Oryctolagus cuniculus: one gene and its partners. The protein of the gene in region 4 interacts with the protein of the main gene of each other region in a pairwise test. Links are inferred from orthologs where the notes say so. Each region holds a gene or a part of one and is shown on either strand. Other genes may lie near its edges.

Region 1 (5,082 bases), on a different chromosome or scaffold from region 4:
GGCAGGAACGGTGCTGAGACGGCCTGATCCCACCCTGTGGTCTGTGCACCCCACCTGCCTCCCTGGGGTGTAGGCGGAGCCCGTGATGACCGTACACTAAGCGGCAGCGGGAGCTGATCCTGGGGGACTGCCCAAGCCAGGAGCACCCCAGACGCACAGATTCCCTCCAAGTGGGCCCGGAGAAAGCCGGAGAGCTCTGAAGACGGCTGTCGGCTTCCCGGGGGAGTGCCCTGGGTGCCCGAGGAGTGTGGCGGCCTCAGGAGCTGAGAGCCAGCACCAGGCAGGCCCAGGCCCACAGCCACAGGGCTGAATCCTGCCAGGAGCCTGCGTGGGTCTGGAAGGAGCCCCGGCTCGGGATGAGACCTCAGCTCAGCTGACTCCTGGTTCAGGGCCCTGGAACCCTGGGACTCAGTGCCCTGAGCCTGCGCTTCTGGTCTGCAGAGCTGGGGCCGTAGGGCCGCGGCCACTTGTTCTGCAGCATCAGGAAGCCCAAGGCTGCCCCTGTGCCTCAGAGCCCCGCCCTCTGGGAAGCGGGGAGTCCTGGGGCACACAAGCTACAGGCGAGGTGTGGGGGCCGTGACGGGTGGAGCTGTGTCTCCCTGGGTCCTAGCCCCTGGCATCTCCGACTGCCACTTTTTGGGAAATGGGGTTCTAGAGGGCGGCTGCACCCGGCCCAGCTGTGAGGTCACAGCCGCGGTATTCAACCAATCACAGGTCCAAAGATCTGGGAAAAGACTGCACCTGTGCTAAGCCTGTACCGTTTCCTCCTGTGGTTACTCCCTGGATAGTATCGTGTGACAGTTTCGCACCCAGCGCTCGTGTTGTGTGCGGCACCACAAGTGGTCTAGAAGACTTGAAGGGTCGGGAGGCTGTGTGTGGGTTCTGTGGCCCCTGTGTCACTTCACTCAGGGACTCCGGCTTCTGCAGGCTGCCCTGGGCACCAGGGACGCCGTCACCAAGTCACAGGGAGGGAGGTCTAAGCCCGTGTGACGGGTGGACACAGCGACACCCACAGGACACGAGGAGAAGATGCTGCCCGCAAGCCAGCAAGAGACGCCTGGGACACACAGCCCCGGGGGCCCAGCCGCCTGGACTTTGGGGCCCCAGCCCTGCGGGGCTAGGCTTGTCCACTGTTTAAGCCACCCAGTGTGGGCTCCATATTGCAGGAGCCTGAGCAAGTGAGGGCAGAGGCCAGCCAGGAAGGGCCCACACAGACGCCCACGCGTGGGTGCTCACACACACACACACGGAGCGTACACACACACACACACACACACACACACGAGCTGGGGGCATGCAGCCGGCTGGGAGTCAGGGGTGAGGCTCGGGGCTGCAAAGCTGAGTGACAGGGCGGCTCTGGGTCCTGGGAAGGCCCTCAGCTGCTCTGCTGTGTGCGCATGCACACACACACATACACACACACGGAGCACACAGGGCTGTGGGGAGTCAGCCCACACTGCTGTGCACACACACACACACAGAGCTGTGGGGAGTCAGCCCACACTGCTGTGCACATACACACACACGGAACCTACACACACACACACACACACACACGGAACCTACACACACACACACACACGGAGCCCCCCACACACGGAGCCCACACTGCTGTGCACACACACACACACACACGGAACCTACACACACACACACACACACACGGAGCCCCCCCCATGGAGCCCACACTGCTGTGCACACACACACACACACGGAGCCCACACTGCTGTGCACACACACACACACGGAGCCCACAGCTCACACCGCCCCGGGCAGCTGATGCCTTCTCTTTCCGACTGCGTCCGGGGCCCTCTCCCTGGGAGCTGAGATCAGCCGTGGTGTGAGGACGGCACTCTCACTCGGAGATCAACCAACGCTCCACACTGGGGCCAGCGAGCAGGGCAACCTGGCCGGCCAGGCCCTGGGTGGGCAGCAGGCCAGCTGGCCCTGGGTGGGCAGCAGGACAGCCGGGCCCTGGGTGGCAGCAGGACAGCTGGGCCCTGGGTGGGCAGCAGGACAGCCGGCCCTGAGTGGACAGCAGGACAGCCGGGCCCTGGGTGGACAGCAGGACAGCTGGGCCCTGGGTGGGCAGCAGGACAGCCGGCCCTGGGTGGGCAGCAGGACAGCCGGGCCCTGGGTGGCAGCAGGACAGCTGGGCCCTGGGTGGACAGCAGGACAGCCGGCCCTGGGTGGGCAGCAGGACAGCCGGGCCCTGGGTGGCAGCAGGACAGCTGGGCCCTGGGTGGGCAGCAGGACAGCCGGGCCCTGGGTGGACAGCAGGACAGCTGGGCCCTGGGTGGGCAGCAGGACAGCCGGGCCCTGGGTGGACAGCAGGACAGCCGGGCCCTGGGTGGACAGCAGGACAGCCGGCCCCTGGGCTCCCTGCAGGGAGCAGCTGTGTGGCCAGGGATGCCCACTGGCCTCTGTGATTCGAGTTTCCGAATCCACACAACGAAGTCCAGACGCACTCGGGGGTCTCTCTGAGCCAACAGCGGAGTGGAACACAGCAGAACCCCAGCCAGAAAGCAGGGCCCAGCGTGACAGAATTCGAAACAACGCCGGCGAGGGACGGGGCTGTTAACCTGAGCCACCTCCTCAGCACCCGGTGGGGTTGATTTTTCCTCCCTCGCTTGCCCGTCCTCCGTTCCTCCCGGCTCCCCACACCGCCCGGTGCTGGGTGGGACACGCTCCTCCCCGCTCGGTGACTGTGCGTGAGACCTGGCCCTCCCCGCCAGGCTTCCTCCTCCTCCTAGACTGGGAGTGAGGCTGACGCTGACACTGACGCCCAGGGCAGGCGGCAGGGGCTCCCTCCGTGCAGCTGGGCCCAGTTGCTAGGGCCGTTACCCCCTACCTGCCATTCTGGCCTGGAAGACCCCGCAGGAGGACAGCGGCGGGTCGTTCTCGAAGGCCTTGAGGCCGCTGCTGCGCCGGGGCAGGCTGCCGGGAAAGTTCAGGTCGGGCCGGTGGTACCTCCCTAGGGCACAGAGGAGTGTCAGCGGCCCCGGGTCCTCGCGCAGGGCGGACTTGCCCCACAGCACCCCAGGCCGCACCCCCGTGGCGAGCAAGGTCACCGCGTCGCTTCCCGGGGGCTGGGTGCTCAGACGTGGGTTCTGTCCCGGGACAGAGCTCCGGCCCCTCGGTGCTCCCTGGCTTCTGCAGAGGTGCCCCCACTTTTCCTGTGAGTGTCTGTGATGGACGTGGCTTACCTGGACAGTCATCTCAAGTCGACCTCAGTTAATCGGGTGAAGCTGGACCCCGCCCCCGGGGCTGCCCAGAGCCACGGCTGCTCAGCCTGGGGGTGCCCGGAGGCTGCGTGGGGCACCTGTGCTGGACCTCGGGCCGGCAGACCCCAGCCCTAGCTGCTCTGCGTGCTGTCTAGAAGCAGGTGACCTAACCTCTCTCCTCGGAAAAGTGAGGACGTGGAGGGCCAGGGAGCTAGTGCCCAGAGCCTGGTGCTGAGCTCAGGGACAGCGGGAGGTGGGCTGCTCTGTTCACCAGATGGTGCCGCCAGCCCGCTCTGCTTGGCTCACAGCCACCAGGTGGCCCAGGCGTCGGCTTCTGCAGCACAGGGCAGCTGAGCCGGCTCCCTGTGTGTGAGTGTCACTGCCCCCTGCTGTCTGGTTCTGTCTCCCTTAGGCCTTACTTCCTAGGGGCAGCCATGTTCTGGGCCCTGCGAGCCCTTGGTGACAGCTCAGAGCACCCCCTGGTTCACCCACGGCCCCTCCTCTGGGCCAGTCCCGCCCTTGTGAACGGACTCTGTCTCTCTGGGGCGATCCCTTAATTTATGCAGTCAGCCGCGGCTTGGTGGCGTAACTCAGGGCTCTCCTTTGGAGTGAGCATTGCCAGGGGCATGGGTCACCCGTACAGGGTCCACCTTGTGTCCACCGCACGGTCCTCAGTCCCAGGCAGCTGGGAGCGCAGAGCTGAGAACAAGAGCCCTGTGTGCCTGTCAAGCTGCATAGCAGGTGTCGTGGGATCGTGGCAGTGGCAGTCAGGATTAGCTGGGAGAGACCCAGAGAGGCGACAGGGGCCGGGGGCCGTGTGGCAGCTGGGGGGTTCAGGGGCGGCACCGCTGTGGTTGCTAAGGTGTCGTGGCTCCACGTGCACTCGCTGGCTCCCTGCACCCACTGCACAGACGTCCTGCACGTGCAGGTGCACCCCAGCCTGCACCCCACGTGGCACTGTGGTCATCGTCGTCACAGACGATGGGCCCCGGGGTCGGGCACCACAGAGGGGATCTCTGGTGTTAAAAGGCCGGGGCACTGCTGTCTGGAGCTTCGCCTGGACGCCACCTACCGTCCGGGGTGCAACACTGCTGCAGCCATGACTTCCCGAAGACCTGGTCCACTCGCTCCCCGTGGCGCACCACCAGCACGCGTCTCCTCGCCAGGGCGGCCTGCGGGGAGGGAAGCGAGGCCCGAGCCGCTCAGCGTCCAGGGGTGGCATGGTGAGTCCGCCCCACCCCAGCCTCAGCGCAGGCCCTCGATTCAGGGTTCCGGCCACCAGGCCCCGGTGACACCGAGAGGGGCTGTGTTAGGCACTGGGACACGGAGCTGCAGTGCCTGCCGTGGTCCCTAGGCTGGTGCAGACCTCCCTGGGGCGAAGGGACAAGCAAGGGACGCTGTGTCACGGGGAGGGTGGGGGCACAGTAGTCGGAGTCCTCCACGGGAGGTCAGTGGGGGCTGCTGGGAGCCAGGATGGACAGGGTGGGGAGGGCATCGCAGGAGCCAGCACGTGTGCCCCTGCACCTGCCCAAGGCCTTGTGCCATTGGCCACTTCCTCCAGCAGGTGTCTCTGTTCCTTGGGAAGTGGCAGGGGCTGGGGGCACAGGCCGCCCGCTTTGCAGGAGTTCCTGGGGCCACACCAGAGGCTGCTCCCGCCAGCCCCCGCCCGGCCCTGTGCAGCGAGCCGCACAAGGCAAGCCGGACCCCTGCAGCCTGGGGGCCCCGACAGTGCTCCGTGCTCCTGCAGCGTCGGAGACCCGGATCACGTCCTGGCCCAGCTCCAGCCTGGCCCAGCCCAGCCTGTTGCTGGCGTTTGGGGAATGAACTGACAGGAGTTCTCCCCCCACCCCGCCCCGCC
Region 2 (5,876 bases), on a different chromosome or scaffold from region 4:
CCAGGATGAAGTTCCTGGCTTCTGGCTTCTGGCTTTGGCCTGGCCCAGCCCTGGCCATAGTGGCCATTTGGGGAGTGAACCAGCAGACGGATGATCCCTCTCGCTCTCTCTTTTCTAACTCTACCTTTAAAATAAATAATGTCTTTTAAAAAAGTAGTATGGGTTTAAAATAAACAAGACTAGCTCATTGGGGCCAGCACTGTGGGGTACCAGGTAAAGCCACCGCCTGCAGTGCCAGCATTCCCATATGGGTGCCAGTTTGAGTCCTGGCTGCTCCACTTCTGATCCACTCTCTGCTATGGCCTGGGAAAGCAGTGGGAGATGTCCCAGGTCCTTGGGGCCCTGCACCCATGTAGGAGACCCGGAAGAAGCTCCCGGCTCCTGGCTTTGGATCAGCACAGCTTCAGCCATTGTGGCCATCTGGGGAGTGAATAAGCAGATGGAAGACCTCTCCCACTCTCTCTGCCTCTCTGTAACTCTGCCCTTCAAATAAATAAATAAATCTTAAAAAAAAAAAAAAAAAAAAAAAAAAAGACTAGCTTATTCATTTGGGCATTTGTTTCAAAATGGTTGAGGTAATCTACCTTCCATATACTGCCTTTTTCAGAACTTATTTATTTATTTATTTACTATTATTTTATTTGAAAGGCAGACAGAAAGATCTCCAATCTGCTGGTTCACTCCCTAAATGCTCACAACAGCCAGGGATGACTCAGACTGATGGGGTGGGCCAGAAACTCAATCCCAGTCCACATAGGTAGAGAAAATCCGCACAGCTGGCAGGGACCCAAGTACTTGAGCCATCACCTGCTGCTACCCACAGTGCATATTAGCAGGGAACAGAGGGACTTCAACACAGACACTCCAATATGATATGGGCACCCTAAGTGGCATTCTAAAATGCTGCCCCAAACTGCTGACCCCACAGCGCCTTTTGATATTCCTCAAAACTAAGTATGAGACCCCAGTAATAGCATAATTCAGGCTTAAGAGAAAACCCCGGTCCTCATGTTCTCAAAGCAATGCCTTCCTGCCTGACTGGCTGCATCAGACTCACAGGATTTTTTTTTAACAGACCTAACAATAACTCTCAGGCTCTGAGGCAGATACAGGAGCTGGTAATCTACTTCTAAAAATCTTCCCTGATAATAACAGTGTGACTTTCTACTAAAAGCGAAAAAATCACCTTTAGCACATTATAAAATGTTATGATACAATACTCGATACAATGTCTACAATGTGCTTCAAAATACTTTGGTGAGGATACAGTGGATTGGGACTTAGATGACACATGTTCATTCATGACTTGGTCATTGTTTAAAATGGCTGACAGGTACACAGAGTTCATTATACTGTTCTTGCTACTTGGTAAAGGTTTCAGAGTCACCATAACTGAAACAAATCTCAGGTTATTCTTATGTGCAACCAGGATTAAGAACCACCCAACCAGTCTGGTGATGGAGGCAGGCACCTGGAGCCCTCTGGGCCTCCCACCACTGTTTCCGTCAGTTACTTTTATGACAGATCTTCAGTGCAGAATCTGAAAGCTATGGACTATTAATATGCCTAGCTTCGGAGGAAAGCCCTCCCACTTATGACACAACATTTCTGTGGTAGGAACGGATGCAGCCGACTGGCAGCAAGAATATTTGCTCCAAGTTAAATAGTCGGCAAAACCAACAGGAAAAGGGGCAAAACAACAGCTAGAGCCATAGTTTGGAAATAGGTGAGAAACATGTTGAGGAAAGGAGAGAGTAGATGGAGTACTACAAAATTTTTGAGTTGGATGAAACCTTAGGAATTACATAAGCCAATTTTTAAATATCACAAATGGCAAGACTGCAATGTGGGGGAAAAAATGATCCAAAATAGGCCCCAATTCAGACACAACAACCTAGCTTTTATTGAGGCCATCAAATGCTGCAGTCACAGTTTCACAACCACACTGTTCTTAAATCCTGAGTCATTAACATCAAAAAAGGGTAAAAACACAGGAGGCAGATCACGTTGGGAAAATTCTGAACAAGTAAATTCAGGTGGCTGCGGAGACAGCCCAAATGATGGGGAAGAAATTCTCAAGTTGAAAGGGAAAAAAAGCACCAGAAAAGAAATCCCAAAACAACTCCTTTCAATCACTCTCTTTTCTGTCTGTGATTCTGTTCTCAATGGGGATTCCAGAAGATAAAGAAACCACAGCATGCAAATTTCCTGTACTAGCAATGTGGCAAATAAGGATCTCTTTCTGCCCAGAGGCCCTAGTTGGACGAAAGTGATGAAGTGATAAAAACATCAGACCCTGCCATCTTTGTCTCTCCATTGTTCTATTTCACCCTACTCAGCCCAACTGGAGAAATTAAATGCATTTCATGCCGACAGTTCTAAGAGTGATTAGACACTGCTCTGGAATCATATGGCTGTCAGCGCCATCTGTCCATTCTGTAGTGTGAACGCAAGTTGGTCTTCCCAGAAGTCCTAGGAACTGAGAGCAGGCGCTTCAGAGGGGCAGCTGGGGGTGGGTGTTTTCAGCCACGGGCAACACTCTCAAGTTCTCCTGGAGAGGAGAGGGGACTGGGAATCATTTGCCCTCCCAGCAAGCAGCTGGGTGTCGGCCACCACACCAGTGCTGGACCAAGCAAAAGCAGTCAACCAAATGACGTCCTACTGATCCCAAGCCTAGGACAAAGTAGTCAAGAAGGCAAGGAGTCGCGGCTCACGGCCGTACCAAAGGGGAAGAGAATTTCAAGTGCAGAGCTCCTAGAAAGGCAAAGATGACACTGATACACAGACATTTTCAGGAAAATGAAATTCACTGAGCCACCCTCAGGGCCAATGTGAAAAACTGCCACCTCCCCTGCGAAGTTTCCCCACCCAGTTTACAATCTGCAAATTCATCAACACTCCAAGAGGGTACCCGAAACGGCGGCTGTCTATTGTCCCCATCCTTTAAAACGTGGCGGAGAGACTAGTCAGAGAATTCCGCCGCCTCGCCCTATTTTGAAGCAGCACCGTAAGAGGAATTACCATCCAACACCTTCGACTCGGAAAATCCCTTTTAATTCAAAAACCCATCACCCAGTTCAGTGTCATGAGAAGGAACCCAGCAAGGGAGGAGCCCGAAACCAAGCCGGCTGCAGCACCGCCGACGTCTTGGGGCGTGAGGCCGCTTACCTTGGAATCAGGCAGGCTGAAGACGCTGGGGTCGTCCGTGCTCCCCACCATGATCTTGTGCTCCTTGCTCGGGCCATGGCCGCCGGCACCCTCGGCGCGCGCAGCCTTGGCGCCGTGGCGCTCCCCGGACACCCGGTCGCTGGTGGTGTTTCCCATGACCGCGGCTCCAGTCGGGGGCCACCTGCCGCGGGGGCACCACACCGGGCGGGGAACACCCCAGACGCCGCGTCCGTCACCGGCGCCCCCGGCCCCGCCCCTGCGCCCGCGGACCCGGGCGAGGGAATCCCCTCCCTCCCGGCCTGCGGGAACCCCCGCAACTCCCGGGCCTCGGCGCGGCCCCGGCTCAGGGAACCGCTATGGGGACCTCCCCCGCAGCCCGCGCCGCCTGCCCCAGGGCGCCCACGCCCGTCACCACCTCCGGCGATGCGCTCCTTCTTGTCCAGGCCACCGGCGCGATGGCCGTCCCGCGGGTGACGCCACCAATAAAGTTATTGAAATTGAAGCCGCGCCCCGAGCTAGCGCCCCTGGTTTCCTCCTAAAATGGCTACAAGGCCAGCGGCGCGGGGGGCCCGCCCCGTGCGCGTTCCCTGCGGCCCGCCCGCCTCTCTAGCCGCCGCCTCGATGGTGAGCCGCGCGCCGCAGCCAGCGCCGGGCCGCGCGGGGGCACAAGGGCGGGAGGGAGGCGGCGTCCGGAACCGCCGGGGCGTGGGCTCCGTGGGAACAGGCTGCCGGGAGGACCCGCGGCGGCCGCTCCCCGGGCGTCCTCACCCCGCCTCAGGCGCCCCACAGGCGTGGTGTGCGCGGCGTCATGGCCCTGGGCGACCCGGAGAGGTGGCTTCCTACAGGGAATGAGAACGGACCTCGGCCCCGAGCAGAAGGAAGGAGTGGTTGTCCCTGGACGCGAACACTGGGTACCGGGGGAGAGAAGTCAGCCCGACTGGGGTCCCCGGGAAGAGCTCAAGATGGAGTGATCGGCCGCTAGCCCGTGAGGATTAGTGAAATGTTAGCGGAATGAACCTGTGCGGTGGGCACCCCTGGAAGAAATAACACTCCGGAGACAGAGCAGCAGCAAAACCCATCAGAAGGAACGCGGAAGGTATAATAAGGGCACAGACAGCCCTCGGGTTGGGAGGGACCCCGTTTTTGTGATCATGAATGGAGGTTCGGGGCCTTTGCGGATCCTTGCTGTGTATTATTATCTCATCCGTGTCTCGTTCCCTACTGCAAAGCTCTGTCAGCCTGGGATACTCGTGTCCGCCAGCGGCCCCGGCATCACCAGGGAGCTTGTTCGACATGCGGACTCCCGGGCCCCATTCCCACATAGGGAATCAGGCTCCGCCCTTTAACAAGACCACCTGGGACTGTGAGGAGGGTGCTTTGACAGCTGGCCTACAGCGGAACCACGTGTGATTTCTGTCTGTATTCTGCATGCACCTCGTACAAAGCTTTTTACCAAGCATTGGCAGAGTGAAGGGGACATGCATACCGTTACACGTTTCTAACAAGATATGCGACTTAGGCTTGAAAATGGCCAGTGATTGGGGACCCAAAGGCACCCCACCCATCTTTATGAGTGAGGGGCTCTATCTGTAGAGAGAGGTTTGCTTTGCCCCCTTGTAAACTCATTCTCTGGCTCTTAACCACAGACAATTTACAGAGAAAAAAGTACCATTTTACTGCAGTCTCTTGCTCACCCCTCCAAAATCTTTTTATTTATTTATTTATTTATTTATTTATTTAAAAGTCACAGTTAAGAGAGGGAGAGACAGAGATCTTCCATCCACTGGTTCACTCCCAGGAGCTAGGAGCTTCATACAGTTCTCTCACATGAGTGCTAGGGACCCAAGCACTTGGGCCATCTTCTGCTGCTTTTCCCAGTCCATTAGCAGGGAGCTGGATTGGAAGTGGGGCAGCCCGGACTCCATCCAGTGCCCAAATGGAAGCAGCTGGGACACAAACTAACACCCATAAGGGATGCCAGCATCACAGGCCGCAGCTTTACCCACTATGCCACAACGCTGGCCCCTCAACCAGCTTTCTAACAGCCCACTCCTGAGAACTAACACAGGCTGCAAGAACTAGACCAATCTCATGAGACAGATACTAATCACTCCTTAAAGCTCTACATTGCAACTAAATTTGAACGTGAATTTTGGCAAGGACAAATCATATCCAAACCAAGTCGAAAAGCCATTGGAGGGGCCAGCGCCCTGGCTCAGTAGGCTAAACCTCAGCCTGTGGCGCCGGCATCCCATATGGGTGCTGGTTCTAGCCCTGGCTGCTCCTCTTCCAACCCAGCTCTCTGCTGTGGCCTGGGAAAGCAGTAGAGGATGCCCTGGGTCCTTGGGCCCCTGCACCCACATAGGAGACTGGGAGGAGGCTCCTGGCTCCTGGCTCCGGATCGGCACAGCTCCAGCTGTTGTGGACTTTTGGGGAGTGAGCCAACAAAAAGAAGACCTCTCTCTCTGTCTCCCCCTCTTACTGTCTGTAACTCTACCTCTCAAATAAAATAAATAAAAAAACTTAAAAAATAAAAAGAAAAGCCATTGGCAAAGAATGCTGGAGTTCTACTTTAATATTCATCCTCTCTTCCTCCTTAATAATAGTACTTTGATTTTTACCTAGACCCATTGCTTCTTGGGAAAAAAAAAGATGCATTTCTTAGCTTCTCTGGTAGGTAGATATATTGACTATGTTCTTCCAATGAG
Region 3 (5,082 bases), on a different chromosome or scaffold from region 4:
GAACCCGATTTGCCGGCGCCGCAAGGCGGAGGATTAGCCTAGTGAGCCACGGCGCCAGCCAAGACATTGTTTTTATACTTTGCTTTAAGTTCTTTAGATATGATTTCCTTTAGCTCTTTAGTATTTTTCATAGCAAGGTTCTCTGGGTTCTTGAGAACATTTGAGTATTGTAATTTGAGTTCTGGAAAAGTTAATTCTGCAAATTTTTGCCAGTTTTTCATTGCTTTTGCAGAGTGACAAACTTTTCAGAGGTTTTTAGTCCTCTAATGTAATCTTTCATTCTTCAGTGTTTTGTACAAAGTTCACTTGTTCCAATAGCATTTAGTAAACAAATTGCCCTGTTCTACTTTATTTCAAGGAACATTCATAGTGAAAGTTTATAATTATGCTTTATTAATTACATATGGAAGTAACCAAAAATTTGAAGCCTTTTTCTTTCAATCATGTTTCTTGTAATATAATGGGTAGCATGATACCAGTGTTAATAATTATTTTGCAGATACTTACACATTAAGTAACTTTGTATTTTTCTCTTACTTCTTATGCCAGGTATCATAAATGCATGTCAGATTTTATGGGACTTCATGAATAGTTGTTCCTATTTAGTTTATTTTTGTTTTTTTTTGATAGCCTGTTTTCTCTGACATTATATATTTGGACAGTTAAGTACCTCATATCCTGGATTCACATCCTATCACCAGTTCTGCACACCTGTCTATCATGTGGTTCTTTTTCTTACTCCCAGAGTCCACTTTTTCTTTTGCTCCTTTTGCTAACTTCTTTATCTTGTTGTTAATCTCTCCCACCCTAATTCATTATTTCTCATCAAAAAGTGTATTCTAGCATCTTCCATCTTCTAACATCTTGCATCTTCTTTATCATTCACATACCATTCTAGTTATCCTATGTGTTAATCCATTAATTTCTGGTTTTTTAAAAAATTAAATTATGAAACATTTTAATCCTATAGCTGAAGCCAGTAGCCTGCAGCGCCAGGTGGGTGTAAGGGGCCCAAGTATTTGGGCCATCCTTCACTGCTTTCCCAAGTATATTAGTAGGGAGCTGGAGCTGAAGACGAACAGCTGGGGCTAGAATCAGTGTTCATACATGATTCTGGTGTTGTAGGCAGTGGCTTAACTTGCTATACCCCAATTCCAAACCCTTCATACTCACTTTTAGGTGTGTAGAAAATAACCTTTGATTCTCTGTATTGTTAAAAAAAGATTTGCAGAATCATTACTATCTTATTTGAATTGTCAGGAAGATTCTGGGTTGGTTTGTTTATCATTTCCTTTAAGGCAGAGAGATACAGAGAGATCTTTCCTCCACTGATTGTCTCTCCAAATGCCTGCAACAGCAAGAGCCTGGAACTCTACCTGGGTCTCCCATGTGAGTGTCAGGACCTGTGTACTTGAGCCATATCCTACTGCTAGGAAGCTGGAATCAGAAGTTGAACTGGGACTCAAACTTAGGCACTGTGATGTGGGATGCAGATATCGCAAATGCTGTCTGAATTACTGTAGCAAACACTTGCCCCAAGATTCTGTTTTTTAAAGGTATGGTTAGTTCACATAACTGGATACATGTAAACAATTTTCTGAACAAGGCAAACAAATAGAGGTACCATTGTCATCTCCTGTGATTTGTGAAACTCCTGCTTTTCCCTTAGATTGGTTATCCCGTGTGTGTATGTGTGTGCTCACAGATGCAAAACAGAACCAAGAAAAGTATAGCAGAATGAAATGTTAGTAATGGGGTAGCTGTTTGTTGCAGTGGCTTAAATGTTTATTGGGATGCCCTCATCCCATATCAGAGTGCCAGCAGGTGGAGGATCCTCTCTGCCTCTTTATCTTTGAAATAAAATGAAAATAAATAAAAATTAAAAGAAAATATTGGTGAATATTAAATATTAAATGTTAGTAAAATGAATTTCTCTGTTAAATAAGATATGAATATAGGTAGAAGTTCTAATGTTTGCTTTCAGTGTGATGTGCCACCCCCATTTTAGAGGCTACTTTGAATAAATTAGAAATATCACCAAATTTATTTAAATTTGCTTTTGTGTCGTTTCCAAAGACTCAGTATTTTGCCTTGGATAAAGTTGATGGTGGTTGTGGCTCAGTGATAGATCATGTTTTATTGTACTATTCTTTCTACTTCAGTTTATGTTTAAAAATTTCCATAATTATTAAGAAGTCAAAAAAATAGATGCCACCACATCTTTCCTCTCGTTTCATTGGCTTGTGCTAGGTCAGAAGATTTTTCTTTTCACCCCACTTTGTACCCTACCTCACCCTTTTCTGTTTGCCTTCAGAAAGTATTAATTCCAATGCTAAATTTGACAAAAGTGAATCCTGGAACTTGTGAAAAAAATTCTTTCTTCATGATTTTCTTCTAAATTATTATATGCTCCTTTCTGCTGATTTTTATATATTTAATATTTTAGCATAGTTATTTTTATAATCTCACAGTGGTTTGTGATGCAAATGGTGACATAAAGAAAAATTAGCAGCTCTTTGAATATTATTGTTGATATACTTTTGCACCTAATGAGATTTTACAGTCTTGTAAATGAAGCATTTTAAAAGTAAAATGGATTAGTGAAAGCTTTTAGAATACTGATAAAATCACTTTTATGTTGAAAAAATGTTTTAATTTTCATGTATTAATGTAGCATTAATTTCTTTGGAAAATATTATTTTCAGCTTTAAATTTATTAAGTGGTAATAACAATGCTTTATTTTCTTTCTTTTCAAGATACGGAATATATGAACGTTGTCGAGAATTGGTGGAAGCAGGCTATGATGTACGGCAACCAGACAAAGAAAATGTTACACTCCTCCATTGGGCTGCCATCAATAACAGAATAGATTTAGTCAAGTATGTGTTTCCTGTATATTTAATGAGTAGTTGTTTTTTTATTATAAATTATTAAATATTTATCATAAAAATAATTTCTAAAAAGTCATGGCTTTTAAAATATTAGATTTTACGTACCTTTTTTCCTGATGAAAATTGCTTTTAATATGTATTGATTGCTTTTCTGAGCCATGTATTGTAATGAATACTTTTATTTCCTTTAATCTTAATTCTTGAAGTAATCCTGTGTAAAATACAGCAGGTACCCTGTCCTACTGATATGGAAACTAAAGTCAAAGAGGTTAATTTGAGTTGGAATTTTTAAGAAAATATATTTCTATTTTTATTTTTTTTAAAGATTTATTCATTTATTTGAAAGTCAGAGTTACACAGAGAGAGGAGAGACAGAGAGAGAGAGAGAGTCTTCCATCTGATGGTTCATTTCCTAATTGGCTGCAATGGCCAGAGCTGTGCTGAAGCTGTGCTGATTCGAAGCCAGGAGCTTCTTCCAGGTCTCTCACATGGGTGCAGGGGTCCAAGGACTTGGGCCATCTTCTGCTTTCCCAGGCCACAGCAGAGAGCCGGAGTGGAAGTGGAGCAGCTGGGTCTTGAACCGGCACCTATATGGGATGCCGGTGCTTCAGGCCAGGGCGTTAACCTGCTGTGTGTCACAGCGCTGGCCCCAAGAAAGTATATTTCATTCAAAACTAACTTCTCTTTAGTTCTAGTATAACCATTCACAAACCATTTTCAGCATTATATAATGTCTTCCAGGGTATCTTAGGAACCAATTTATGAATAGTTAAATAGTTGTGCTCTTTATAATTTGATATTCTGGAAATACTTTGTTAAGTTACTTTGAACTATTCTGCATAATAAGTGGAGTTGGCCGTTTATTGTATAATGTTTTAAAAGTACTGCTGTAACAAGTATTTGTATGAAGCACAAAACTTCTGAATTAAGCATGAGTGTATTCAGCGTTTAAAATGATGTACACTAGAAATAGTAATCTAAATCATTAATCCTTACTTAAAACAGCTTCAGAGCTTAAGTGATCAACATATGCCAAGTATTTGACATCAAATGCCTTTTTAAAAAATGATTTATTTATTTATTTGAAAGCTAATGTAACAGAGGAGATAGTCCATCCACCGGTTCACATTCTAAATGATTGCAACAGCCAGGTCTGGGCCAGGCCAAAACCAGGAGCCAGAAACTCCATCTTGGTGTTCCATTTGGGTAGCAGGGGTCTGAGTACTTGGGCAAGTTTCCTATTAGCAGGAATCTGGGATCAGAAGCAAAGAAGCTGGGATTCAAACCAGCTCTCTGATACGGGAGGCCAGTGTTGCAAGCTGCAGCTTAACCTACTGAGCCAGAACAGCAGCTCTGTTAATCAAATGCCTTAAAATAGTTTATGCTCAAGAATTAATGCATTGACTAGTCCCAGAGAAAGTATTGTATTAAACAGCTAGATCTCATTTATTTCAGAGGATATCAAGCTATTATGATGTTATTAAGCAATATGATAGCTATGTCTTTTTAAAGTATCATAACTTTAAAAGTATAACAAGGCTTAATGAAGAATCTTTATGTTATAATTTAAAGTTTATAAAATATTTCATTGTTTGATTTGACCTATAGAAAAGTAATGTTTAAAAAGCTGAAGTTACTCAAGGTAGACAATATCTTGCCTAATTTATAGCTGTTCTAATTTGAAGACTGTATGCTACTATTTTAAATCTTTATGGTTCTTTGACTACCTTTTTTATTTATGTCATTTCTGTTCTTTATGTCATTTCTGTCATTTTCTTCTGTTCTTTGTCATTTTTGTCATTGTTCTTTATGTCATTTCTTTTTGTTGCTTTTAAAGCTATTTTCATTTTACTTTTTGAACAAAATAGTTGTATTTTGATACTAAACCATCAAAATATTTTTTTCTTCAAAGGCACAAACTAACATGAGATTAAAATGGAAAACTTTGTATTTCACATAATTTCTTAGAATTCAAAATAAAAAGTTAAATTATCAAAAAAATTTTTTTTGTAGATACTATATTTCGAAAGGTGCTATTGTGGATCAACTTGGAGGAGATCTGAATTCAACTCCATTGCACTGGGCCACAAGGTTTACATTTATTTATTTGTTTTTTCTGTTTCTTTTAATAACAACTAAGCAGCTTCTTTTTAAAAAATGATAGGCTACAATTAATGAGACTTACTATAC
Region 4 (5,706 bases):
AGACCATGGAGTCTCTCATGTTTGTGCTGAGTGGAGGGGCGAGGAGCAGGCTTGAGCCCAGGTCTTGGCACCACAGTCGGCCCCTCTGTGTACTCATTGGTGTTTCGGATGGCTCTGATCTGATCCAGGGACAACACGTGTACCTGCTGGCTGAGGGCGTCTCTGGGGTCCAGTTCCCCACGCTGTCTGCCACCGTCACGGGACTCCTGCAGCAAGGGCTGGGACCCGTTGCCACTTTGAGCTCTGGCCTCCATCAGGTCTTGAAAGTGTGGTCACTCCAGCAGGCTTAGAACACATCTGAACTCCTGCAGAAGCCAAGAGGAAAGACAATGGTTTACACTTGGAAGACTCTCCACCCACAACTTCTCACCTGTTCTAGAGAAACAGGGTTTGAAAAGGAGTTGTGGTGGGGAGGTATTGTAACAGCCATAAGACTAATGCACAAAACAAAAAGCAAGAATTATGGCTGGGTACTGACAATTCTGTAATCCTGTGAAATGCGCTGACACAAAGCTGACCTTTGTTTGAATCACTTAAGTAACAATCCCTTATTCAAATAAACACACAATTTGCAAGGTTCAGGTTCAATGTAAAAATTGCAAGAAAGTAACATTGGATTATAACATTGCTACCAACATTTGCAAAAGCTGAATGCCTTTTCAAATTCTGAAATAGGCTTAAATTTGTCATGGCTATTTTTTTTTTTTTGCCTTAAACATCAATAAATGCAGCAGAGAAAATTCCCTCTTGGTTTTTACTTCAAAGCTGTTTTTACATCAGACACGTGCAGTATGATTTAGCCAATATTCTGTGACCTTTTCAGTCCTGCAGGATGAAGATGACATGCAAAAAAAGCAAACGTCCCAAGAACAGTCACAAATTTAACAACAATGTGCCATTTTTATTAACTACCTAGAAGGGCAAGCTACAGAACTAAAAACAAATCAAATCAAACGCTGTTAGGTGCCAGGAACAGATCACAGCAGAGGTACACAACGAGGAACAAGAAAGACAGGGACTTATTCTCAAGTTCTCAGCAACCTGGGGCTCATTTTACAGCCTGATAGCCCGGAACACCTCAGGGTCTGCAGCTAAAGGCTGTTCTCCCCGTTTTAGGCATAAAATGTGTCAAAATCTTAACTTTTCTCCTCTCGGAAAGTTAACAGTCGAGAGCATAAACCCACCGTTAGTACAGGAAACGTGTTTTAAAAACCCAAGCGCCACATCTCAAACCCAGCATTCTGTCCAGCAAACCCGTGGCTCGCAGCCCCTTTTAAGTCTCAAAACTACCATCCCCGTTCCCAACACTACACGAACATTAAAAAGTCAAAACGGGCAAAAGTGCATGTTTCCCCAACCTCCGCTTTTTACAAAAGGCAGCGCCGCGGTGAGCGAGGCAGGTGACAATCGCCTCCCAGCTCGCGACCAGGCAGCGCCTGGAAACCGGATCTCCTCACCTCTAGCAGGACAAGCACACAGGACAACGCGGCGCTCGGCTTCCCCTCGGTCTATCGGCTCTATCTGCGCCCAGACACCGTCCCCGGCAGGTGGGACACAGCCGGAGCCCGGGGGACTTTTCTCCAGGCTGACTGACGCTGTCCAGGGGCCAGGGGGCCCCCAGCCCCGCCGCGCCGGGGCCGAGACGCACCGACCGGCGGGGGGCGCGGGCGCCTCGGAAGGGGACGTGTCATGAAACGCACGAGCACACTTCCCCCGCCTGCCCCTCCCCAGCTCCCGAGAACCGCCTGCCAGCCCCAAGAGGGAGCCGCGCACCAGCAGGCAGAGGTCACGCAGCCCACGACGCGTCTGCAGGGGTCCGCGAACGTGGAGCTCAGGTTTCCAATGGAGCCCGGGGAGTCTGACCCACGCGCACGCGGCCACTGCACGCCGCACCGACTGAAGCGGGCATGGCTTGTAGCGCGCACGCCGGTCTCCTGGGTCGAGGGGAAGGGAAACAGGAATGATCTGTTTCTTAAAGTTTAATTAAAAAAAAAAAAAAAAATAACCCGTCCCCCTCCCCCAGGGCCCAGAGCCTACGCCAGGCGTGCAGGATCCAGTCCCTGGGTTGGAAACTTTAGAGGTAGATTTGCATACAGTGTAAAGTAGCATCTTTGGGAAGCGGAAAAAAAAAAGTGATTTCTGCCGATCCCCGGCCTCCTCCTTGCAGCCCCCCCTTTCCCCCTCGGCTCTCTCCCCGTCTCCCCGGTCCCCCCTCCCTCTCGAAGTGCTTTGAAAACCCCATTAAGAACAGTGTGTGATCAGACTGAGGATTAGGGGGGGAAAGGACTTCAGCACTTAGGGTGGGGCAAACCGACACAGAAACCGCTTTGTAAAAAAAAAAAGTGCACAAGATCCCAAATTAAACGACAGCGACTACAACATAAACCGGAGAACTTACAAACGAGCCTCATCTGCCACCTACTTTCAGGTCATGCAAAACGATCGCACACACTCGATGACTTTCCTAATGTACTAGGTCAACCCAAGCTCTCCCCTCCACCCCCCCCCCCCCAAAAAAAGCGTGACCCAGGCCGATCACGGGGAACGGAAAAAGGAGAAAGCTGCACTTCCGAACCGCAGAGCCTCGGCGCCAGGCTGGGCGACGCTCCCACCCTCAGTGGGCCAGACTGTCCACAGAGGGCAGCGGCGGGGGCTGCCTGCACCACGCACCCTCGCCCCTTTTCCACCCGCGGGGCCTACTGCCCGCGTGGGGCGAGCACCCCACGCACCCCGGCCCCACCGGCGCCCCCGCCCCGGGACAGGCTCCCCCAGAAAACTTTGCCTCGCAAGGAGGGAGGAACAGGTTAGAAATGCTAGCGCCCGCAACGGCGGCCAGAGAAGCACAAAGTGCTTTCCCTCCGTCTCCCGCTCTCAGCGCCGAATTCGCGGTCGACGCAGGGCTGGGAACAGACCAGGGGAGAGCCGTCCTCCGACCCAAGCCCACAGCGCGCGGGAGCGCAGGGTCGCCGGCTGGGGGACATCGCTCGGGGCGCACACTGCAGCCCCCTCCCAGGCAGGCCGAGCCCAGGTCCTCGGCCAGGGAAATCTGCCGGCAGCTCGCCGGCAACCTGCGGGGTTTGAGAAAGCGAGGCTCGGGGGAGAGGCAGACCCCACTCCCGGTCCAACTGCACCTACTCCATGTTGCCCACACCGCGCCAGCCACGGCGCCAGCAGAGGAAGAGCGAAACGCGCCTCACCGTGATCGCGGCTTTGCACCAACCCCTCTCCCTTGGAGTCTCTTCTTTCTGCGATGTGCAAATAAATCCAGCCCCGATGCAAACTTTTTTTCCCCCCTTTTTTTCCAAACTTTGCTTCAGTCCAACTTTCGAGCAATCGGCGGGAGGAAACAAAACAAAACAGAAAAATACGAGCGAAAAATTCGGAGCCAAGTCCCTCGCCGATGAACAACTCCGGGTTTCAGGGCTGGAGGCGAGCCCCCTTGCAGAAGCGCACGCGGAGTATTTCCTTTTTTTTTTTTTTTTTTCTCAATGAACAAGAGGCCGAAGCGCCAACAGCGAGTCCCCGTTCTTGGCAGATGAGCGAATGAGAAAATAAAGTGGCCTTACAGAAAGACCCTAGAAGCCAGATCGCCAAGGCGTGCGGCCCCGGCCGCGTCGGCGCAGCGGTGGCACGGAGGCGCGGGCGGCCGCGAGCCGGGCCGGGCGGGCGCGGGGGCCTGGGCGCTGCGCGCTCCGCCGGCCCCTCTCCTCCGCTCGCGCTGCGGCGCGCAGCTCTGGGCGGTGCAGACTGGGCGTTGTGGAGGCTCGGCAGCGAGGCCGAGGCGGGGGCGGTGGGTGCCGAGGAGGAGGAGGAAGAGGAGGAGGAGGAGGGGGAGGCGGAGGAGGAGGAGGCGGAGGAGGAGGGGGGTCTGGGGCCCGGCCGGGGGGGCTCGCTGTTGGCCTGCGCCCTCGCCTTTCCGGAGGAGGCAGGGAGTTCTGCGGCGGCCGCGGCAGCAGTAAATGGCGTCATGTGGATCCGAGGCGGAACAGAGCAGTTGTTGTCCCAGAGGATATATCGCATCCGGTCCCAGCTCATTGGCTCCGCGGGGCTACATTCACTCACACTCCAGCGCCCGCCAGCGCGCCGAGCCGCAGGAGGCATTCAAAAGGGCAACCGCGCCGCCCCGCGCGTCCCCGGGCCGCTCCTGCCGTCCCGCGGGGCGCCCGCGGAGCCCGGCTGCGCGCGACGGGGTCGGTTTATCCAGCTTCAAGGAAACACTGACCTTAAGGCCCCCCCCAACCCCCACCCCTGACACCCCCCGAGGCCAGGAGGATGAGCCGGAGGCTCGGACTGATTTATGGAACTTTCTCTCGCCGCCAGAGAGACTGATCGGGGCCGTGCCGCGTTAGCAATGAAAAACAAGTTGCAGGTTTTTAAGACTTCATCCGGAATCCATTTCGAGTCTGCTCGCCCCTCGGCTGCTCCCCCTCTACACGGTGGGGGTGGGGGAAGGGGAGCGGGAAGTGCGGTGGGAGGGCTATTGGTTTATTCTTTGTCTCCCGGATTAACCCGATTATACACCAGGCACCGGCCCCAGCCGCGCCTCCCCCACCTCCGAGCCTTGTACGAGAGGAGCGGAATGCAGATTCGGGTTTCAAGTACCTCCTGCTCAGGCTGGATTGTGGCGACTGGGAGTTTATTAGAATTTTCGTGTTTTAAGGGAGACAGACGGTGGCTGCAGGGAGAGCTCTCTGCGTCGCCGGACGCAGCAGCCGAGGGAGAGGCTGCAGCCTTGCTCTTCAAAGTCAGCTCGGCGATCTCGGGGCGCTGTCGTGGGCTTCCGAGATGGGGGTGGGGGGAGGGCGCTCCCGGCGCGGGTCTCTCCGCGGCCCGGTCAGCAGTCATCTGTCCCTTCCCACCCTTCTCCGGAAGCCCCCACGGCCCGTGCTGAAGGCATTCAGTAGAAAGTCCTATACATATGCACGTGCATTTGCTCAGAAACGTGCCTGCACGTGGGAGCCCCGGTGGCGGATCGAAATGCGCGCACGCACACCTCTAACCGCGCATTCTGAGGACTTAAAGGCGGGGAAGCAGTTGCCTGCTAGGTCGCAGGTCCCGAGCAGCACCTGCACAGCTCTGCCCCACACGGGGGTCCACCATGGCGCTTCGTTCCTCCACGCGACCCCGGGTTCCTGCTGCAGAATGTCCCTGGCGCTCTCCCTGCCTTCTCCATGTTTCTCTAGGGCTCCCTTCCTTCCTCCCCTGGGATTTGGAACCAGAGATGGGCAAGGGCAGGCGCCTACGTCCCCCAACTGCTCTGGGAAGGTCGGACGAGGTTATGTCTGCCCGCGACGCGGCGTCCTTGGGGCCGCGGGGGTGCGACAGCCGGGCCTCTGGCCCGGGCCGCTCGCCACTTGTCCGAGTCTATCCAGTCTGCGGGGAAGAGTGGCGCCTCTGCGCGTGTGGCTCGTCCGGCCACCAGGGGGCGCTCGCCCGGTGCCGGGCCAGGCTCTTTTTTTTCCCCAGAAGTTGTCCGCTGGCGGGGTTGCCTTCCGAAATGCGCATTAGACCTGCTGGTTTAAAAGGAATAAAAAAAAAAAAAAGGTATTTATCCTGTAAACGCCGCTCACGGTGGCTTTCCCTGCGATTCCCTTGGATGCACTCCGTTTTCAGTGTGAGATGAGTTGTCTTGGTTCCGAGAACTGCAGCTGAAACCTAGGGAAAGGGAGCCTGGTTGTGCAAGGCTTGTGTGGGACGAGCAGTCGG
Region 5 (5,782 bases), on a different chromosome or scaffold from region 4:
ACAGCCCACCTGCTTTTTGCATTGGCCGGTGGTGGCCAGCAGGTGCCCGCTGTGGAGAGAGGGTCCTAGGAGCTGAGAGGAGGGGTGGTCCGTGAAGTGGCTGCTGGCATTTCCGGAGCTGCCCCAGCCCCCTGCAGCCGGGGTGCCACTGTGACCAGGCAGGTGCTCGGAGGAGCCAGCGGCTCCCCTGCCCGGGGCACAGAGCAGGTTTCCCTAGCGGGATGGCAGCCAGAGGGCGAGGATGGAGGGCTCCCGGAAGCCAAGGCAAGTCGCCGCCTCGGGGCTGTGGGAGCGGGAGGCGGCGCTGCGGCCCCCGGCCCGGCCGGTGTGGAGCCCGGGGCGGTAGCTGGTGGACGACCCCTGGAGGGGCCGGCAGGAGGCTGAGGCGCAGGCGCCTGACCCCGTCCCGTCGCAGATGGTGGCCGACATGCGGGAGAAGCGCTACGTGCAGGAGGGCATCGGCAGCAGCTACCTGTTCCGCGTGGACCACGACACCATCATCGACGCCACCAAGTGCGGCAACCTGGCGCGCTTCATCAACCACTGCTGCACGGTGCGCGGGGAGCCGGGCCGCGGGGGGCGGGCGGGGCGCCGGGCCGCGGCTCACTCTGCCCGTCCCGCAGCCCAACTGCTACGCCAAGGTGATCACCATCGAGGCGCAGAAGAAGATCGTCATCTACTCGAAGCAGCCCATCGGCGTGGATGAGGAGATCACCTACGACTACAAGTTCCCGCTGGAGGACACCAAGATCCCGTGTCTGTGCGGCACCGACAGCTGCCGGGGCTCCCTCAACTGAGGTGGGCCAGGCCTGTGCCCACACCCCTATTTATAAGCCCTGGTGCCCTGAGCTCCCGCACCCCCAGCCTTAGCGGGCCCGGCAGGGCCCACGTGCCCCCTTCTCCCGAGTGCGGGGCTCGGGGGGCCCTGGGCCCAGCGAGGGAGCCTCAGTCCCCGAGGCAGCTCTGCCTCCCCCGTCCCCCCAAGCTCCCCTCCTCGTCCCCCCCCCCCCATTTTGTTTCTTTGCGGAGAAGAAGCTGTAAATGTTTCGTAGCTGCCAGCAGCTGTTTCCTGTGGAAACCTGGGGTGCCGGCCTGTACAGATCCTGTTCTTGGGGGGCTGCCCAGCCCTCCTGCTTTGTGTTCATGGGGACTTCCCCTCATGCCCTGCGCGCACCCCTCCCCGGTTTAGGGGTCTCTGGGGCAGTGGCCATGTTCTCCCCCTGGGGGCCCTGCGCCCCCAGTCCTGGGGACTCCGTGCCTGGAACCCTGCCTCATCTTCTGTTCCTGCCAGCCCCTGCGGGCCATGCCCCCCACACCCCGCCGTCCTGGAGGCTCCCGCCGAGCCTGGCCAGGACGGTGGGGGAGGTGGGTGGGCCCTTCGTGCTGGGCTGGACTGTATATATGTTAATAGCGCAAACCCAACGCCACATTTTTATAATTGTGATTAAACTTTATTGTAAAAAAGTGCTTGGTCAGTATCTTTGGGGAAGAGTAGGGTGGGCTGGGGTGGAGGACAGAGGGTGGGGCCGGATGAGAGGCCAAGCGGGGGTGGGGGAGCTCTTGGCTCAGGCAAGGGGGCAGACCTGCAGAGCCAGCTGCAGGACCACCTCACCAGCTGCCACCCTGTGCCAGGAATCCCCCGCCAGGGCCAGCCAGAGCGGGGCCAAGGTCAGGCCTCCCTTTCCTTCCCAGAAGCACAGCTGCTGCTAGGCCTCTGGCCTCCTGGGAAATCCAGCAGGCGGGGAAGGCTGAGGTCAGGCCCTGGGAATGAGGTCACCCTGCTGGCGCCATCCCGAGGTCCCCAAAGCCCTCAGCGCCCATCCAGCAGGTCCCGGCCCCTCCATCCCTTCTCCCCAAGTTCTCTGCAGGATCCAAACGCCAGCGGAGCGCCGAGCGGCCACCAGGGGGTGCCCTGTGGCAAGTGTGCAGGGTGGGAGGTGGAGGGGGTGGAGGCTGAGCTGCTCTCCGTTCCTGGAATGGGCCAGGAGGGAGGAGGAGGAGGAGGAGGAGGAGCAAGCGGAAGGAAGACGGTATGAGGTTGGCCGGCCAGCTCCTTTGGTGGCCAGTTTGGGCTCCCCGGGACAGTGGCCGCAGGTAGGTGGGGGGTGGGTGAAGGGGGGCAGCCCAAGGCCCCAGCAGCCCGGCCCCTCCCACCTTCCATACCCTTCCCTGCCCGTCTCCCCACTCTCCTGATCTTGTCCCCCAAACCTCTTTCCCCAACCCCCCTCAAACCCTGGCCCCCCACCCCTCTCAGCACCTCTGCAGCTGGCAGGCTCCGAGGACAGGTGACCCGGCTGCCGCGCCCACAGCCGAACGGCATCTGAGAGCAGGTCTGCCCCTCCGCCCGCCCACCCACTTGCCCTCCAGCCCGCAGGGCCAGCAGGCCCCGAGCAGGTCGCAGCAGGCAGCACAAGTGAGCCGGGGTCATGGAAGAGTCTGCCCAGGCCCAGAAGCTGGTGTACCTGGTCACAGGTGGCTGTGGCTTCCTGGGGGGACACGTGGTACGAATGCTGTTGGAGCGGGAGCCGCGGCTCCGTGAGCTGCGGGTCTTTGACCGACACCTGAGCCCCTGGCTGGAGGAGCTGAAGACAGGTGATTGGGGCGACGGGGGGGGGGGGGGGGGTGTGTGTGTGTGGAGGGATAGACTCCCCAGGGAGGCTCCTCCCTCCTTGGTGGAAAACATGAGCCCTGTTTATATTCTGTAGCCCACATGGATGGGACGAGTGAGTCACATAGGGAACGTGTGGCTTCCAAGGGTGTAGGCTGAAGCCAGCGGCAGCCAGTGGCCCCCGCCCTCATTGGCCCTCTGGCCTCCCCGGTTCCCACCAGGGCCTGTGCAGGTGACTGCCATCCAGGGGGATGTGACCCAGGCCCACGAGGTAGCAGCCGCTGTCGCCGGAGCCCATGTGGTCATCCACACAGCTGGGCTGGTGGACGTGTTTGGGAGAGCCAGTCCCCAGGCCATCCATGAGGTCAACGTGCAGGGTACGGCGGCCTGATCCTGTCTGTTTGTTCACCTCCCTCACTCTGACCTTGACCTGGGATTCTGCTGGGGCAACCTGTGACCAATGCTCCATGGGTGACTGCTCACTACTCCTGTCCCAGCTTCATGGGACCTGTTGTGGGTCGTGCCCCCCACCCCCGGTCCTGGGATGGGAAGGGAAAGCTGCTGAGAGGGAAGAAGCCCCAACTTGGATTACCCCCCCCTCCCCCAGGCACGCAGAATGTGATCGAAGCTTGTGTGCAGGCTGGGACTCAGTTCCTGGTCTATACGAGCAGCATGGAGGTCGTGGGTCCTAACGCCAAAGGCCACCCCTTCTACAGGTGAGCTGAGGTCCCCGAACCTCCCGGAAGTCCATCTCCCCCTCGGCATTGAGTCTTCCCTCTCCCCTCACAGGGGCAACGAGGACACCCCATATGAGGCCGTGCACAAGCACCCCTACCCGTGCAGCAAGGCCCTCGCCGAGCGACTGGTCTTGGAGGCCAATGGCAGGAAGGTGGGACTCGGGGAGTGAGATGCGGCGATGGGGCCTGGCCCATCGCCAGGGCAGGGCCTGGCCTGGGACCCACGTCCCTGCTATCACCAGCCCGAGGAGGCCCAGGGGCAGAGGGCAAGCCACTGGTTCCGTGTCCTTAGCAGAGTCTGCCTTGTGCCGCCAGGTCCGTGGAGGGCTGCCCCTGGTGACGTGTGCCCTGCGTCCCACGGGCATCTACGGTGAAGGCCACCAGATCATGAGAGACTTCTACCGCCAGGGCTCGCGCCTGGGGGGCCGGCTGTTCCGGGCCATCCCAGCGTCTGTGGAGCATGGCCGGGTCTACGTGGGTGAGGAGTGGGCTGGGCTGGGGAGGCCAAGATCAGGCGGTGGGGACGCTGGGCTTACCCCGGCTAGCAAGGATGGTGTGCACGCAAGCGTGTGTCCTAGCTTTAGCCTCTCGACCAGGCTGCAGGGGCCGGGTGGGGTCGGGCGGGGCATGGCGAGCCCCAATAGGGAGTGGCTCATGCATGGGCTGGCCCAGGAATGCACCTGCCTGGGTGCTGGGGCGCTCAGGGCCACGCGTTCCCCCCTCACCACCACCACAGGCAACGTGGCCTGGATGCACGTGCTGGTGGCCCGGGAGCTGCAGCAGCGGGCGGTGCTCCTGGGCGGCCAGGTGTACTTCTGCTATGACAAGTCACCCTACAAGAGCTACGAAGACTTCAACATGGAGTTCCTGGGCCCCTGCGGACTGCGGCTGGTGGGCTCCCGCCCGCTGCTGCCCTACTGGCTGCTGGTCTTCCTGGCTGCCCTCAACGCCCTGCTGCAGTGGCTGCTGCGGCCGTTGCTGCTCTACGCACCCCTGCTGAACCCCTACACGCTGGCCGTGGCCAACACCACCTTCACCGTCAGCACCGACAAGGCGCGGCGCCACTTTGGCTACGAGCCCCTGTTCTCCTGGGAGGACAGCCGGACCCGCACCATTCTTTGGGTGCAGGCCACGGGGGAGGGCTCTGCCCACTGACGTCGGGCCTGGGGGTCTGGAGGCCCTCCCGGTACAGCCACAGAGGCCTGGAAGGGATGGGACCATGGATGGCCAGGCGGCTCTGGCGCTAAGTCCGTGGCTTTGTTCTGAGACTCCCACGCTCTAAGGCAGGGTGTGGGGACAGGCGTGTCTTCATTCTCAACCTCTAGGCCAACTGGCGAGGGGCCGAGTCCCCGGTGTCCTCCACTTCCATCTCTGGCTTCCCAAGCAGGAGGCCACGGAACCGCCCCAGGCCTTGTGCTGGTGCAGGTGCTGGTATTCCCAGATGCGGGTGATCGCAACCTGCAGGCCCAGGGTCACAGAGTGAAGCGGCCTCTCTGTCTCTCCTCCCACCTGTCCCTCCTGGGGCAGTTGGAGTTGCAAGATTTTCAAACATGTGTCACCTGTATGCAGCCATCATTTAATTCCCGTCAGCACAGGCTGAAGACTTGAGTGTATTTTTCAACTTCTCTCTTTCCACCCAGACTCACAGGGCCTGCTGTAGCCCAGGAAAGCTGTCCCTGCCCGAGCCCTGAATTAAAACCCTTCTCCGAGCCTGCGTCATGGAGTCTGTCTAGCTCCCCAGCCCGCTCTGCGTCTGCCCCTCCGCACGGCGACTGTCCCCCCGCCCCCCACCAGCCCCCCTCCACCGCAGGGACAGAAGCAGTGAGCACACGGCACACCCGCTGTTGGATTGGTTGCTATTTCTCCCGTCCCACAGGGCCCGACCCGGCCCGGGGGGTTGGGGGTGGGGACGCTCTGCGGACAGGACATGCAGGGCCGGGGGTGGGGACAGAAGTTGTCTCTGTTTGATCCATTTGCAACTTGGTCACCAATAGAGAGAAATGGGACTCAGGGCTAACAGGAGAGGGTGGCCTGGCTCTGGGCCCCCCAGCCAGGCCCCAGGAGTCCTGTCCCCCTCTGGGGAGGGGAGGGAGAGCGCTCTAGAAACCAATGGAGAAACGGAGAAGGGGGGGCAAGGGCTCATGTCAGCAAACACGGCTACGTCACGTGACACGCCAGCGACACAGAAACACACGCCAACGCACACGGCTGCACAGCGGGCAGGGAGGAGGGGGCAGGGCCGGGAGGGGGGAGCCCATCTTGTCCTCTGCGGGGCGGGCGGGGGAGGGCAGGGTGAATGCATAGAACACGTCATGTTGTACACGCTCAAGGCGTGGCAAGAGCGTGTGTCGCCCCACGGGCACATGGGATGGACACGCACTGTGCTTCGTGAGAGGTGGGGACAGGGAGTCCGGGGGAAGGGGAGCACTAAGCCCTG

What was found.
Region 1: the proteins of SPRY2 (region 4) and UBASH3A interact in binary tests that used the Homo sapiens proteins (3 or more experiments, as listed by UniProt). The two-hybrid records come from large-scale screens. The link is inferred for Oryctolagus cuniculus from reciprocal best matches to the Homo sapiens genes SPRY2 and UBASH3A.
Region 2: the proteins of SPRY2 (region 4) and PRKAB2 interact in binary tests that used the Homo sapiens proteins (3 or more experiments, as listed by UniProt). The link is inferred for Oryctolagus cuniculus from reciprocal best matches to the Homo sapiens genes SPRY2 and PRKAB2.
Region 3: the proteins of SPRY2 (region 4) and ZDHHC17 interact in binary tests that used the Homo sapiens proteins (3 or more experiments, as listed by UniProt). The link is inferred for Oryctolagus cuniculus from reciprocal best matches to the Homo sapiens genes SPRY2 and ZDHHC17.
Region 5: the proteins of SPRY2 (region 4) and HSD3B7 interact in binary tests that used the Homo sapiens proteins (3 or more experiments, as listed by UniProt). The two-hybrid records come from large-scale screens. The link is inferred for Oryctolagus cuniculus from reciprocal best matches to the Homo sapiens genes SPRY2 and HSD3B7.

Annotation. Positions count from the first base shown.
Region 1 is NC_091435.1:3,137,042-3,142,123, forward strand, and holds part of UBASH3A (ubiquitin-associated and SH3 domain-containing protein A), read right to left. Parts: intron 4,397-5,082; coding exon 4,297-4,396; intron 2,975-4,296; coding exon 2,852-2,974; intron 1-2,851. UniProt on the Homo sapiens protein: Interferes with CBL-mediated down-regulation and degradation of receptor-type tyrosine kinases. Promotes accumulation of activated target receptors, such as T-cell receptors, EGFR and PDGFRB, on the cell surface.
Region 2 is NC_091438.1:50,111,002-50,116,877, reverse strand, and holds the start of PRKAB2 (5'-AMP-activated protein kinase subunit beta-2), read right to left. Parts: upstream 3,724-5,876; 5' UTR 3,325-3,723; coding exon 3,169-3,324; intron 1-3,168. UniProt on the Homo sapiens protein: Non-catalytic subunit of AMP-activated protein kinase (AMPK), an energy sensor protein kinase that plays a key role in regulating cellular energy metabolism.
Region 3 is NC_091442.1:79,307,040-79,312,121, forward strand, and holds part of ZDHHC17 (palmitoyltransferase ZDHHC17), read left to right. Parts: exon of another isoform or gene 1-1,890; intron 1,891-2,757; coding exon 2,758-2,880; intron 2,881-4,905; coding exon 4,906-4,983; intron 4,984-5,082. UniProt on the Homo sapiens protein: Palmitoyltransferase that catalyzes the addition of palmitate onto various protein substrates and is involved in a variety of cellular processes.
Region 4 is NC_091440.1:31,925,376-31,931,081, reverse strand, and holds the start of SPRY2 (protein sprouty homolog 2), read right to left. Parts: upstream 3,876-5,706; 5' UTR 3,198-3,875; intron 2,145-3,197; exon of another isoform or gene 1,458-2,144; intron 306-1,457; 5' UTR 255-305; coding exon 1-254.
Region 5 is NC_091450.1:6,168,076-6,173,857, reverse strand, and holds HSD3B7 (3 beta-hydroxysteroid dehydrogenase type 7), read left to right. Parts: upstream 1-1,954; 5' UTR 1,955-2,094; intron 2,095-2,254; 5' UTR 2,255-2,426; coding exon 2,427-2,592; intron 2,593-2,829; coding exon 2,830-2,985; intron 2,986-3,215; coding exon 3,216-3,324; intron 3,325-3,397; coding exon 3,398-3,497; intron 3,498-3,660; coding exon 3,661-3,823; intron 3,824-4,081; coding exon 4,082-4,500; 3' UTR 4,501-5,054; downstream 5,055-5,782. Other genes in the region: histone-lysine N-methyltransferase SETD1A, read left to right, coding at 416-553, 624-797. UniProt on the Homo sapiens protein: The 3-beta-HSD enzymatic system plays a crucial role in the biosynthesis of all classes of hormonal steroids. HSD VII is active against four 7-alpha-hydroxylated sterols. Does not metabolize several different C(19/21) steroids as substrates.